Linked DNA regions of Oryctolagus cuniculus. The protein of the gene in region 2 purifies or fractionates together with the protein of the main gene of each other region. This does not show direct contact. Links are inferred from orthologs where the notes say so. Each region holds a gene or a part of one and is shown on either strand. Other genes may lie near its edges. The genes, in order: EHMT1, SUV39H1 and MECOM.

Region 1 (3,646 bases), on a different chromosome or scaffold from region 2:
GAACACGGCCAGAGTGAGCAGAGGCCCAAGTCAAGGCATGGCCAGAGGCCTGGGGACAGAGCAGCAGGCACCTTCAGGAATGCGGTTCTGCACACCCAGGGCCTCCCGGCCCTCGTGCCACCCTGCTGCGGACACTGGTTCTGAGACAACCCAGGCAGCGGCAGGTCTCACTTACTCGCAGACAAAGGTGCCCAGTGGGATGTCCTGCAGGGAGCGTACGCCCCAGCCCATGTCCTGTGTCCGATAGAGCTGCAGCCTCGCCCTGGAAGACAGTGCACAGGTGGACACTTGCTGCGTGCTGGACACGACGGGCAGCAGAGCCCAGCTGTGCATAGGGACGTGAATGGTGACTGAGGAAATACTATGATCTAGAAATGGCAGCGCTCGCCAGATTCAAAGGCAGCCGAGAACCCAGAAATGGCCTGGGAGCTCGGCCAGGCACTGGCTCTGGCCTGGCCTCAATTTCCTTGTCTGTAACATGGGGGACATGGCTGGGTAAGGACCAGTGGCAGCCCTTCTGCCAGGACCCAGGCCGTGGGGAGGCCAGCTGAGGGGGCACAGACCACACACAAGGACTCCTCAGAGCCATGTGTGTCCCAGCATCCCGCCCACGGCACGAGCCTATCCACTGGTGCCCAAGGCAGTGGGGGAAGCTGGGTCCCCTGTGTCCAGGACTTTCAGCACACACAGGGATACGGGGCATGGGCTGGTCACCAGCAAGCACACTGCTCTTTGGTCCAGCCCAATCCGCTGCACACGTGGATTTCCCCTCGTAACTCAGACATATTCATGGTGGTCAGGGGGCTCTGTTCTCGTGGCTGGAAGGAGGGCACTGGGGACTACAGGATGAGGGGGCGGCGCAGTCTGGCAAGAGCCCCAACAGCATGGGGCAGTCAGGCATGCCTGAGTATGCGATGGGATGACAATGACTGTGAATGAACTTGGGAACACAGTGACCACGCGACCTGCTCCCTTGGGAAGCAGATCTCCCGGGATTACAGTGACTGTGAATGAACTTGGGAACACAGTAACCACGCCACCTGCTCCCTTGGGAAGCAGATCTCCGTGCTGTGTCCGAGGAAGATCACCCGCTCCACCTGCAGACACCCCACATTCTTGCTGTCAGGACCTCGTGACTCAACGTGAAGCAGGGTGTGGAGCTGTGGTGGGAAGCACCGCTCACCTGAGACCATTCTGCACGACACGGTTGCGGCAGTTCCTCCAGCAGGAGCAGGCGTGGTTGCACTCAAAGATTAAGGGAGGCTCCGCCATGTTGAACTCTGGCAGGAGCCGGCCATCCTGTGGACACACACACCATCAGGACCCGCCACTCTTCGTAAATGAGCAGAGTCGGCGTGTTCACCGAGTGCTCATACCAACAGGTAAACGTCCAGGGAGGGCCGATGATGTGGCACAGTGGATTAAGCCACCAATTGGAATGCCAACGTCCCATGGAGTGCCTGGTTCGAGCCCCAGCTGCTCTCTGCTTCTGATCCAGCTCCCTGTGAATGTGCCTGGGAAGGGGGCAGAAGACAGCCCAAAAGTGCCTGGGTCTTTGCTACCCATGTAGGAGACCTGGCTGGATTCTGGGCTCCTGGCTTTGGCCTCACCCAGCCCTGGCTGTTGTGGCCATTTGGGGAGTGAACCAGTGGATAGGAGGTATTCTCTCTGTCTCTCACCTGTCACTCTGCCTTTAAAAAAATAAATCTTAAAAACAAAACAAAGAACAAAATCCAGACAGCTTTCTGGTCACTCTTTCACACCTAGGGAACAGCCAGGCAGAGCTGTGCACTCAGGGCAAGGCTCAGACCAGAAGCCCCAGCAGGTCTGTTCTCTCTGCTCACTGTAGACCAGAAGCCCCAGCAGGTCTGTTCTCTCTGTTCACTGTAGCCACCAGGGCACAGGTCCCCCTGCTCCACAAGGATGGCCTGGCTCCTGGGCTGTCCTGCACTCTCTGTGGACTGCCTTGTCAACCCCAATTCTGTAGGGGCGTGGCCACCTGACCCATCCCACTCTTCACCCTGATGCTGGGCTGGGTGCACCAGGGCTGTGCCAGTGAGTCCTGGGGCCCGGCAGCTTCATGAGTGTTCTGAGAGTAAGGGCTGTCCTTGGAATGCTCGTTCCCACCCACTCTCCGCACGATCCTATCACAGAGGACACAGACCCTGGACGTGAGCCCCGATGCCTCCAATCCCATCCCCCAACACCAGGGTCACTCACCCCATCACCACCCTTCTAATGTGGAGTCCACTTTGCAGAGTGGACTGCTGCTTCCACCTTTGCCCACCTCTGCTACCTCAGAATACTCTGGCTTCTACTGCCACCAATGACCTCGGAACTCACAAAGCCAATAGTCACAGCCCCATCTTGTTGGACAGCTCTTTCCTGAACAGCACCTGTGATCCCAAGAGGCCCTTCTCTCCTGTCTCCCCGCAGCTGCCTCCACACTGGGCTCCTCCCACCAGCCCTTGTTGGTCACTTCTGAGCCTGTGGCCTTCATCTCTCAGGCTACGCACGCTCAACCAGCACAAAGCAGAGTACACCAGACAACAGAGATGCTGCATGTTCCATGGCCAGGCCAGGCTGACCACCTGGGAGCACGTGTGGCTAACCACTCTCCCCCCCCGACCTCCCCACGTGCAGGCAGCCAGAGGATGCTGGCCTGAACCCCCAGCACTTCTGGAGCCCACTCCTCCGCCCTAGGACCTGCTCAGAGCAGTCTCTTGTGTCTTCTGGTCTGCTGCCTCTTCCCCACCTGACTCCCCTCCACCTCCTTCTCAAAGTGCCACAACAGTCTTGGAATCAGGGAGTTAAGATCAGCGCGTTTGTAAATCCCACAACAGAACTCTCCACCCCAGCACAGGGGCACGCGGAGGGTCTCCTCACCTTATCGTACCAGCAGCGCATGCTGAGCTGACCACACATGCAGTTGCTGGAGGAGCAGTCATCTATGCACACGCAGTACTGCAACAGAGACACGGCACCGTCAGCGGGCAGTCTCTTCTTGTGTCTTCTCTCTCCAGGTCATAGTCACAATTCTGCAACTTACCCTCTGACGTGTGCTTTGAGACAGGCCCCACGGGGAGTGGGAGTGCTTGGGACGCTAAGGAACACACTGAGTGCTTGCAGGAGGAGGAGGTGGGCGGTCAGCAAGGGAAAAGATGGGCAGGGGCCAGCACTCAGGAAGAAGTTACAGAAATCGCACTGCATTGGAGGCTATTCTATAGGACAGCAGCAGACAGAGCCCAAGGCCAGGGAGCTCCCACCAGCAAGGCCACAGGACACAGCTGATCTTGGCCAGACAAGGAAGGGACAGGCTGTGGGTGACAGCTCCCAGTGAGGTCAGGGGCTGGGCAGCTGGTGTTTGCTGTATTCTGCCTTTCAGGGCCATATCCAGGTCAGAGTGCAGCCCAGGGCCAAGCCCAGCCTGGGACTCAGGACGCCCCTCCTGGCAGGAGGCCGCAGGCCCCTTCTGCACCTGTCCTGGCCCGCGGTGGCCCCTCCTCCGGCACCACTGACCTGCAGGTGAGTAATGTTCCTGTCGATGCTCATGGGGGACGTCACGCAGTTCTGAGACACGTACTTGTAGTTGCTGGGGCACGGCTCGCTGTCCACGGCGTTGACACAGGGGATGGGGATGCGCTCG
Region 2 (4,212 bases):
ATACCCAAGCTAGAATCACTCACTTGAGGTGGTTCAGGTGAGAAAATTGCCTGTGGCCACACAGTTGAGTGCCTGGCGGAGCCAAGCAGTCAGGTAGCCAGGCTCCAGAACCCAGGCTCTTAAATCTCCTCTCCAGGTCCAGAGGGCCAGCGGTCATGTCTTCCATCACTGTCATGTCCCTGGAGTGGGAGGGCCCTGTCTGCCCAAAGAGACGGGGGTGGGGATATGGGGGGTGGGCACGTGAGAACCAGCATCTACACTCTGTTCTAGAATAGGGCTAGGGGACTGAGGTAGGACTTAGCTAAGCCCTTGACTGTTGAATTCGTGGCAGGCAGGGTAGAATGCCAGACAGGTTAGCCATGTTCCAGCCAGCTCACAGCTGGCCTGGTAGGCAGATGGAATATCTGTTGAATTAACTGCATGACTGTTTGGTGCACTATGTAACACGGGGACTAAGAGGGAGAGGAGCCACAGGAATCAGGCCTGGCCTGAGGGAATGGAGATACCAGATCTGCCACCAACGGTCCACCTCCACTGAATCACGGCACACTCAAGGGCCTGGCTCCATGCTCTGCTGGCTGACCTGTCACCCTCTAGATGCTGAGATCAGTGGGCTACTGACTACGATGAGAGGCAGGTGGAATGGGTCACAGGGCAGCTGGCCAGCAGCAAGACCGACATAGCTGCTTGCCTCGATGGTTCTATGTGGTTATGGACCGTGCGCCCTAACAGGATGCCAGCCTCTCCCAGGGGTCCAGAGAAGCAGAGGGCAGTGACAGGTTTGAAGGACCCATGGTCCGTTGCCTGAGGCTGAGATGAGTCGCCGGGGAAAGGCCAGGCTGGCTGAGCCAATGACAGGTGGCATGGAAACATAATTGTCCCTCTAGTTGCTATGGCTCTGCTCTGGGGCCTAGCTGGGTGGTGTGCGTGGGGTGTAACCAACGGCAGCTTGTCCTGACCTAATCACAGCCTGCCTGCCTGCCTGCCTGAGGCCAAGGCTGGATGCTGGAGCTGATGAGAGGATCTACCTAGGAGCTGGTCCCTGGGCAAGGGCTGCTTGACTGGCCCGCGCCATTGCATTGCGGGGACCGTCTGCGGGAAGGGCAGCCTCGCTAACAGCTGGGTGCCTGCCTCCAGGGAGTCGCAGCTGGCCCAAGGCACAAATGGATGCTGCCATTGACTGACAGAGCATGTGAAGGAGGCGGGGCCTGGCGAGACACCTGCCTGGGGAGACTGACCCATCGCCTATTTGAATAGGACAACTGACTGGGCAGCTGTCCGTGGCGCTGCTCCACGCTGGGTCACGGCCTGCTTGGGGTTAAAATGTGGTGACGGACTGACTGACGGAGGTAATTGGGGGTCTGACAGGACGGAGAATCCCCCGTACGACTGGCTGACAACGTGATTGGCTACCAGCGTGACAGACAGACCGGCGAACGGGCAGGGCCTCGGGCACCCTCAGCTACCGCTACCGCCGCCGCCGCCGCCGCCCAGACGCACTCTGGGAAAGCGCGGCGAGCACCCGCCTCCGGGACCGAGCCGGGTGGCGGGGAGGGGTCCGGTCACGGCTCGCCGGTTGGTCCTCGCCGGTGCTGCTCGCGGGGAGGCGCGGCCAATAGGCTGCGCGTTCCCGGCCACGCCCGCGCGAGCTCTCTTCTCGCGAGGCCGGCTAGGCCCGAATGTCGTTAGCCGTGGGGAAAGATGGCGGAAAATTTAAAAGGTGAAGCAGTGGCGGCAGAGGCGCGGGTTCGCTGGCCGGGCCGGGTGGGCTGGAGGGGTGGCGTCGCGGGCTCGGGGTCCTGGCGTCCAAGGCCACGGAGCCCGGAGCCGGAAACCCGGCGCAGAAAGGAAGGGGCTCGGGGAGCGCGGGCCTGGTGCGCGGGGCTGGGCGGGGCTGAGGGGAGGGGGCGCGCTCCTCGGAACGCGGTGGCCGCGGGGCTAAGTGGGGACGCGGGAGAGGGGCGCGCGCGTTGCAGATCACGACCGGAGCGGCGCGCGCACGCGCAGGGGCTTGTCGGGGAGGCCTCGCCCGCGCGCGGGAAAACCGGCCCCCGGTGACCGTTACCCCTACGGTGTCCACGCGAGACGCCGGAAGGGGAGGGAAAAGAAGCGGGGACGGACCCCCAAGGGGGCTCTTCAAGAGAGAGGGTTCCTCCAGCTGAGGGGAATAGGAGCTTCCCTCTTGGGAGAGCCGGACTCCCCCATGTGCAAGGAAAGCGGGGTGACCATGTTGGGGGAGCTCCTCTATGTGCGGACAGCTGCGAGGAGTGTGCGTTCCACAAGTGGGAGGGGGACCTCTGCGAGGCAGGAGAGCCCAGTTGTGGTCCGCGCCTGAGCCCGTGGCAGGAGGTGTTAACAGGGACCACTTGCGAGGGTTGGAGGGGGGGCGGATTTCACGTGTATGCGAGGGGATTGCATCGCAAGGAGAGGAAAGCGTGGGCCCAGGCTTAGAGTCTCCACTAGGCCTTGCCTAGGGGGTGGGGGGAGCCCACGGAATAATTACGAAAAGCTCTTGTACATTTCTAGATTGACATCTAGGCTATTTCGTCATAAGTTTAAATAGGCTGGAGTTTTGTAATGGCAGGCAGGTAGCAAATATTAGACAGTTTTGAAAGACGAAGTGGGGACGTGGAGTTGAAGTGCTCTGTGACATGCTTTGATAAAATGGCTTCTAAAGCATATTAATTAAGAAGGTGCCTTGCATCAGAAAGAAGGATACATTGTTTTTAAAAATCCGTCTTGAATGATCTTGGTAGCCCCAGAAAGATTCCAGGTATGTTTCAAAGAATGGATGTCACTAACCTATATTGCTTTGCCTGTTGCTGACTTCAGAGCGGTTTCACCTTTCACAGAAATGTGATTGAGACAGAAAGTCAGAATGCAGTGTGGAAGAAACAAACTTTGTAGGTTTAAAGTCCCCAGACTAACCATTCAAGGAAGCTTCCTGTAACATAGTATCATTCCACAGTCCTGTAGTCATCATTCCAAAATCTGAGTGCTGAAAGCTTTTTCTTAAATTTGGCACCATTCATGGCAAAAGGAGATTGATTATAAGGTCGGACTGTCCAGTGAGGTTACCTTATCTTACATCTTTATTTCAACTACTTAATGTGAACCTTTGCACTTTTGCTACAGAGCGATCAGTGCACTTGATTATGGCTTGATGTGCCTGTCCAGGCTGGGAGTGTTTGCACATGGACAGGACATACCTAGAGCTACACTTCTAAAATCCAAAAAAATGCTGAATTCTAAAACTCATCCAGCCCAGGAGCTTCAGATAAGGGGTTGAGGACCAGTCTTTCCAGTTATGCCTTTGTTTGGTGCCCTGGAGGTTTTAATCCCCTCCCCTCCCCACCCCCTCCCTGGGCAATGCACCCTACTGAGATGGGGGGGGTTGTCCCTTTCTTTTGCAAAGTGGAAAGAAAGGTGATCCAGAACCTAGGTTGTTTTAGGACTGGTGTAGAGGGAGTCTGAAGGTCTGGGAAGATTCCTTTAGGCCAATCCCTATAGCAAATGGCACTTGGCGGCACTTTGAAGTTCACTGCCCCAGGGGTAGCCTTGGGCAGTAAGCACTGAGGTTCCCTGGAGTGGCTGTTGCAGAATTTTCCACTTTGGGGAAGACCTGTGGGGTCAATTTCACTACGTCTGGGGTAGCCCAGAGAGGATTTGGAGCCCCTGGCCAGGTCAGGCTGCCCAGTAATGATTCTTTCCGCCTTGTCGTTCCAGGCTGCAGTGTGTGTTGCAAGTCTTCTTGGAATCAACTGCAGGACCTGTGCCGCCTGGCCAAGCTCTCCTGTCCTGCCCTTGGCATCTCTAAGAGGAACCTCTATGATTTTGAAGTCGAGTACCTGTGTGATTACAAGAAGATCCGCGTGAGTCTGCAGTGACCGGGCCCTAGGGGAAGGGGGTAGATCTTGGGAAGTTGGCTTCCTACTGGGTCATGTTCCCGCCACCCCCCCCAATCTGTGCCTAAAAGGGAAATTTCTCTTCTGATCCTGAAAAACTAGGATGAGTAGCCTCTCTCCCCTCCCCATTTTACAGGTAGGAAAACTAAGTGGCTTTCTGAGGGGGCAGAAGCCAGAATGAATCCCCAAGTAAATGTCTCATGCCACGTCCCTAGGAAGGTAAACCAATCGCGGAGACTGAGATGCTAAGCCCAGGAGTGAGCTGGTGATAGCTAATGGTCACTGGGCACTTTCAGTGTGCCAGGCG
Region 3 (3,646 bases), on a different chromosome or scaffold from region 2:
TCATCGTGTGCCACAATACACAGGGCATTTTGTCTTCCATTTAATTTCTTAAAATAAATGTGTTTCAGGAATGGCCAACAGAGTATATGTTGTTTCTGCATGTATTAAACATGCACAGAAACATTAAAGTAAACTCACATGGACGATTAGCTCATTTACAGCAAAGGAAAATAAAATAAAATACGATACTTTGAAACAGATATCATAAGCCTGCTGACCTGTGAAGTGAGTGGGATTCTTTCTTAGCAAGGGAATCCTTCGGGGTTGCAAAGTTTGGTCTTAAAATATGCTTAGATCTGATGACACATCCATGAAGAAGAAAGACATTCCACTTTCTTGGTAAATTCCTGGCAAAGGGGGCTATTTCACAGCCGTACCCACTGCTGCGTCGTCCTTGCTGGATTGGAGCACTCCCAGCCCTCTCCCCTGCTTACCACAGTTGGCTGTCACACATAGAAGTCAAGGCCTGAGATAACGGGTGAAGATAGGACAACAGTGGACATGTTTCCCAGGAACGGGGGTTTCATAAATGCAGGAAGATTAGCACAGCCACTGGTGTGAGGGGAAGTCAGAGGACGTGATCATAGTTCATGGGAACCAGCAATGCAGGATGGGCTACATTCAATTTAGTTTCCTTTGCAGGCTTAAAATAGAGCCATTGTAAATTATGTCAGTCTTTCTCAAATCATGAAAATGATTGTTAAAAAAAGTCTCAGAATACACAATGTGCATTGTTATGTGGCTTTGATGTGTGAATGATGAGAGTGTATGATATAATGCTAATTAAATAACAGTAGAGCAGGCACAGATATTCTCTTCAAGGGGAGAGGTATTAAAGTGAAATTTCTGGATGAGGGAAAGGCCGTTCTATTTTGTCTTGGGTCCTACGATGTAGAATTCTTTAACTTGTCTAAAATTAAAAGGGTTCCTTTTATGCTTCATACCTAATATATCTTAAGACTTGTGATTTTTTTTAAAGATTCTATTAGTGTCATTATTGGGTGGGGAGTCAGTGCATGCTGGAATTTGACTTTTTCGGAAAGATTTAAATACACAAATATTATGCAAAATATTGTGCAGTGGGGGAATGACAAAATCTTTAAATATATATATATATATATATGGAATATTTGTGCTGCCTGGAGACATTTGTCAGGTTGGATGCCTTGCTTTGGAATCTAGTAAAATGGGGGTTTTCTGTGTTTGGAGCATCCAGATTGTACCCCCGATATCTTTTCCTGGCTTCTTAATTGAAATTTGGGGTAAACCAATTGTGATACTTGCTAAATTCAGAAGCAATTGCCATAAAGCCTGAGATTCTTTTTTGTTGTTTGCACACAGGTGAGGTCTGCCATAAATCCTATACTCAGTTTTCAAACCTTTGTCGACATAAGCGCATGCATGCTGATTGCAGAACCCAAATCAAGTGCAAAGACTGTGGACAAATGTTCAGCACTACGTCTTCCTTAAATAAACACAGGAGGTTTTGTGAGGGCAAGAACCATTTTGCGGCAGGTGGATTTTTTGGCCAAGGCATTTCACTTCCTGGAACCCCAGCTATGGATAAAACGTCCATGGTTAATATGAGTCATGCCAACCCGGGCCTTGCTGACTATTTTGGCGCCAATAGGCATCCTGCTGGTCTTACCTTTCCAACAGCTCCTGGATTTTCTTTTAGCTTCCCTGGTCTGTTTCCTTCCGGCTTGTACCACAGGCCTCCTTTGATACCTGCTAGTTCTCCTGTTAAAGGACTATCAAGTACTGAACAGACAAACAAAAGTCAAAGTCCCCTCATGACACATCCTCAGATACTGCCAGCTACACAGGATATTTTGAAGGCACTCTCTAAACACCCACCTGTAGGGGACAATAAGCCAGTGGAGCTCCAGGCCGAGAGGTCCTCTGAAGAGAGGCCCCTTGAGAAAATCAGTGACCAGTCAGAGAGTAGTGACCTTGATGATGTCAGTACACCAAGTGGCAGTGACCTGGAAACCACCTCGGGCTCTGATCTGGAAAGTGACATTGAAAGTGATAAAGAAAAATTTAAAGAAAATGGTAAAATGTTCAAAGACAAAGTAAGCCCTCTGCAGAATCTGGCTTCAATAAATAATAAGAAAGAATACAGCAATCATTCCATTTTCTCACCATCTTTAGAGGAGCAAACTGCGGTGTCAGGAGCTGTGAATGATTCTATAAAGGCTATTGCTTCTATTGCTGAAAAATACTTTGGTTCAACAGGACTGGTGGGGCTGCAAGACAAAAAAGTTGGAGCTTTACCTTACCCTTCCATGTTTCCCCTCCCATTTTTTCCAGCATTCTCTCAATCAATGTACCCATTTCCTGATAGAGACTTGAGATCGTTACCTTTGAAAATGGAACCCCAATCACCAAATGAAGTAAAGAAACTGCAGAAGGGCAGCTCTGAGTCCCCCTTTGATCTCACCACTAAACGAAAGGATGAGAAGCCCTTGACTCCAGTCCCTTCCAAGCCTCCAGCCACGCCTGCCACAAGCCAAGACCAGCCCCTGGATCTAAGTATGGGCAGTAGGAGTAGAGCCAGTGGGACGAAGCTAACTGAGCCTCGGAAAAACCATGTGTTTGGGGAAAAGAAAGGCAACAATGTTGAATCAAGACCAGCTTCAGATGGTTCCTTGCAACATGCCAGGCCCACTCCTTTCTTTATGGACCCTATTTACAGGTAAGGGCCAGTAGGAGATGATGAAATGTGAGTGCAGATACGAAAGGTGGTTTTAACACTACAAACTCCCATCTTCCCCAAAAGGTTTTTTATTATTATTATTATTATGAGAGAGTCAAGTTGTTTGATCTAGTGAAATCTGTTTTTTTTTTTTTTTAATTCAGAAAATTGGCTCTGTAGGTTTCGACTCATTTTTGGATATCTCTGAGTTTGGAATAAGCCAACAGAATTTCTTTCCCATGACAATAAATTTATTTTTAAACATTGTTTTTTTGGAGTGGAAAATATGTAAAAGTTGTATTTGAAGTGATTTGTCAAGTGGCAGAAGAATGATACTCCTGGAGGATTAATGCAAACATGTATGGGTACCTTTATATGCAAGAGTCTACTCTGTGTTAACCCATCAACACATCCTTTGCATCTGTTCTGTTTCTCAATAGATTTCTTAAGAGCTCTAAGTAAATGTAATGTTAATCACAAAAATCTGTTTTGTATATAACATGAGTAGTTCTCCTAAAAGAATCTCTATTTTTTACAATGATTTATTTATTTATATGAAAGGAAGAGAGAGAGAGAGAGGTCTTCCATCCATTGGTTCACTCTCCAAATGACCACAACAGCCGGAGCAGGGCCCATATGAAGCCAGGAGCCTGGATCTTCTTCCAGGTCTCCCATGTGGGTGCAGGGGCCCAAAGACTTGGACCATTTTCTACTACTTTTCCAAGCACGTTAGCAGAGAGCTAGATCAGAAGTGGAGCAGCCAGGACTTGAACTAGAGCCCATATGGGATGCAGCACTGCAGGTGGCGTGTTCACCCACAACGCCACAATGCCGGGCCCAGAATCTATATTTAATGGCTTAATTATTCAGGTTTGTTTATGAATCCAAAAATTCTTTAGGTGAAATTACGTATTTAATAAAATACCTCTTAGGCAGTATTCTGCAATA

The links.
Region 1: the proteins of SUV39H1 (region 2) and EHMT1 purify together in Homo sapiens (co-immunoprecipitation; 3 studies listed by BioGRID and IntAct, with this or other methods). This does not show direct contact. The link is inferred for Oryctolagus cuniculus from reciprocal best matches to the Homo sapiens genes SUV39H1 and EHMT1.
Region 3: the proteins of SUV39H1 (region 2) and MECOM purify together in Homo sapiens (affinity purification with western blotting; 3 studies listed by BioGRID). This does not show direct contact. The link is inferred for Oryctolagus cuniculus from reciprocal best matches to the Homo sapiens genes SUV39H1 and MECOM.

What each region holds. Positions count from the first base shown.
Region 1 is NC_091432.1:237,913,239-237,916,884, reverse strand, and holds part of EHMT1 (histone-lysine N-methyltransferase EHMT1), read right to left. Parts: coding exon 3,520-3,646; intron 2,965-3,519; coding exon 2,887-2,964; intron 1,300-2,886; coding exon 1,184-1,299; intron 263-1,183; coding exon 176-262; intron 1-175. UniProt on the Homo sapiens protein: Histone methyltransferase that specifically mono- and dimethylates 'Lys-9' of histone H3 (H3K9me1 and H3K9me2, respectively) in euchromatin.
Region 2 is NC_091453.1:33,884,225-33,888,436, forward strand, and holds the start of SUV39H1 (histone-lysine N-methyltransferase SUV39H1), read left to right. Parts: upstream 1-1,395; 5' UTR 1,396-1,701; coding exon 1,702-1,720; intron 1,721-3,726; coding exon 3,727-3,872; intron 3,873-4,212. UniProt on the Homo sapiens protein: Histone methyltransferase that specifically trimethylates 'Lys-9' of histone H3 using monomethylated H3 'Lys-9' as substrate. Also weakly methylates histone H1 (in vitro).
Region 3 is NC_091435.1:111,194,866-111,198,511, forward strand, and holds part of MECOM (histone-lysine N-methyltransferase MECOM), read left to right. Parts: intron 1-1,341; coding exon 1,342-2,698; intron 2,699-3,646.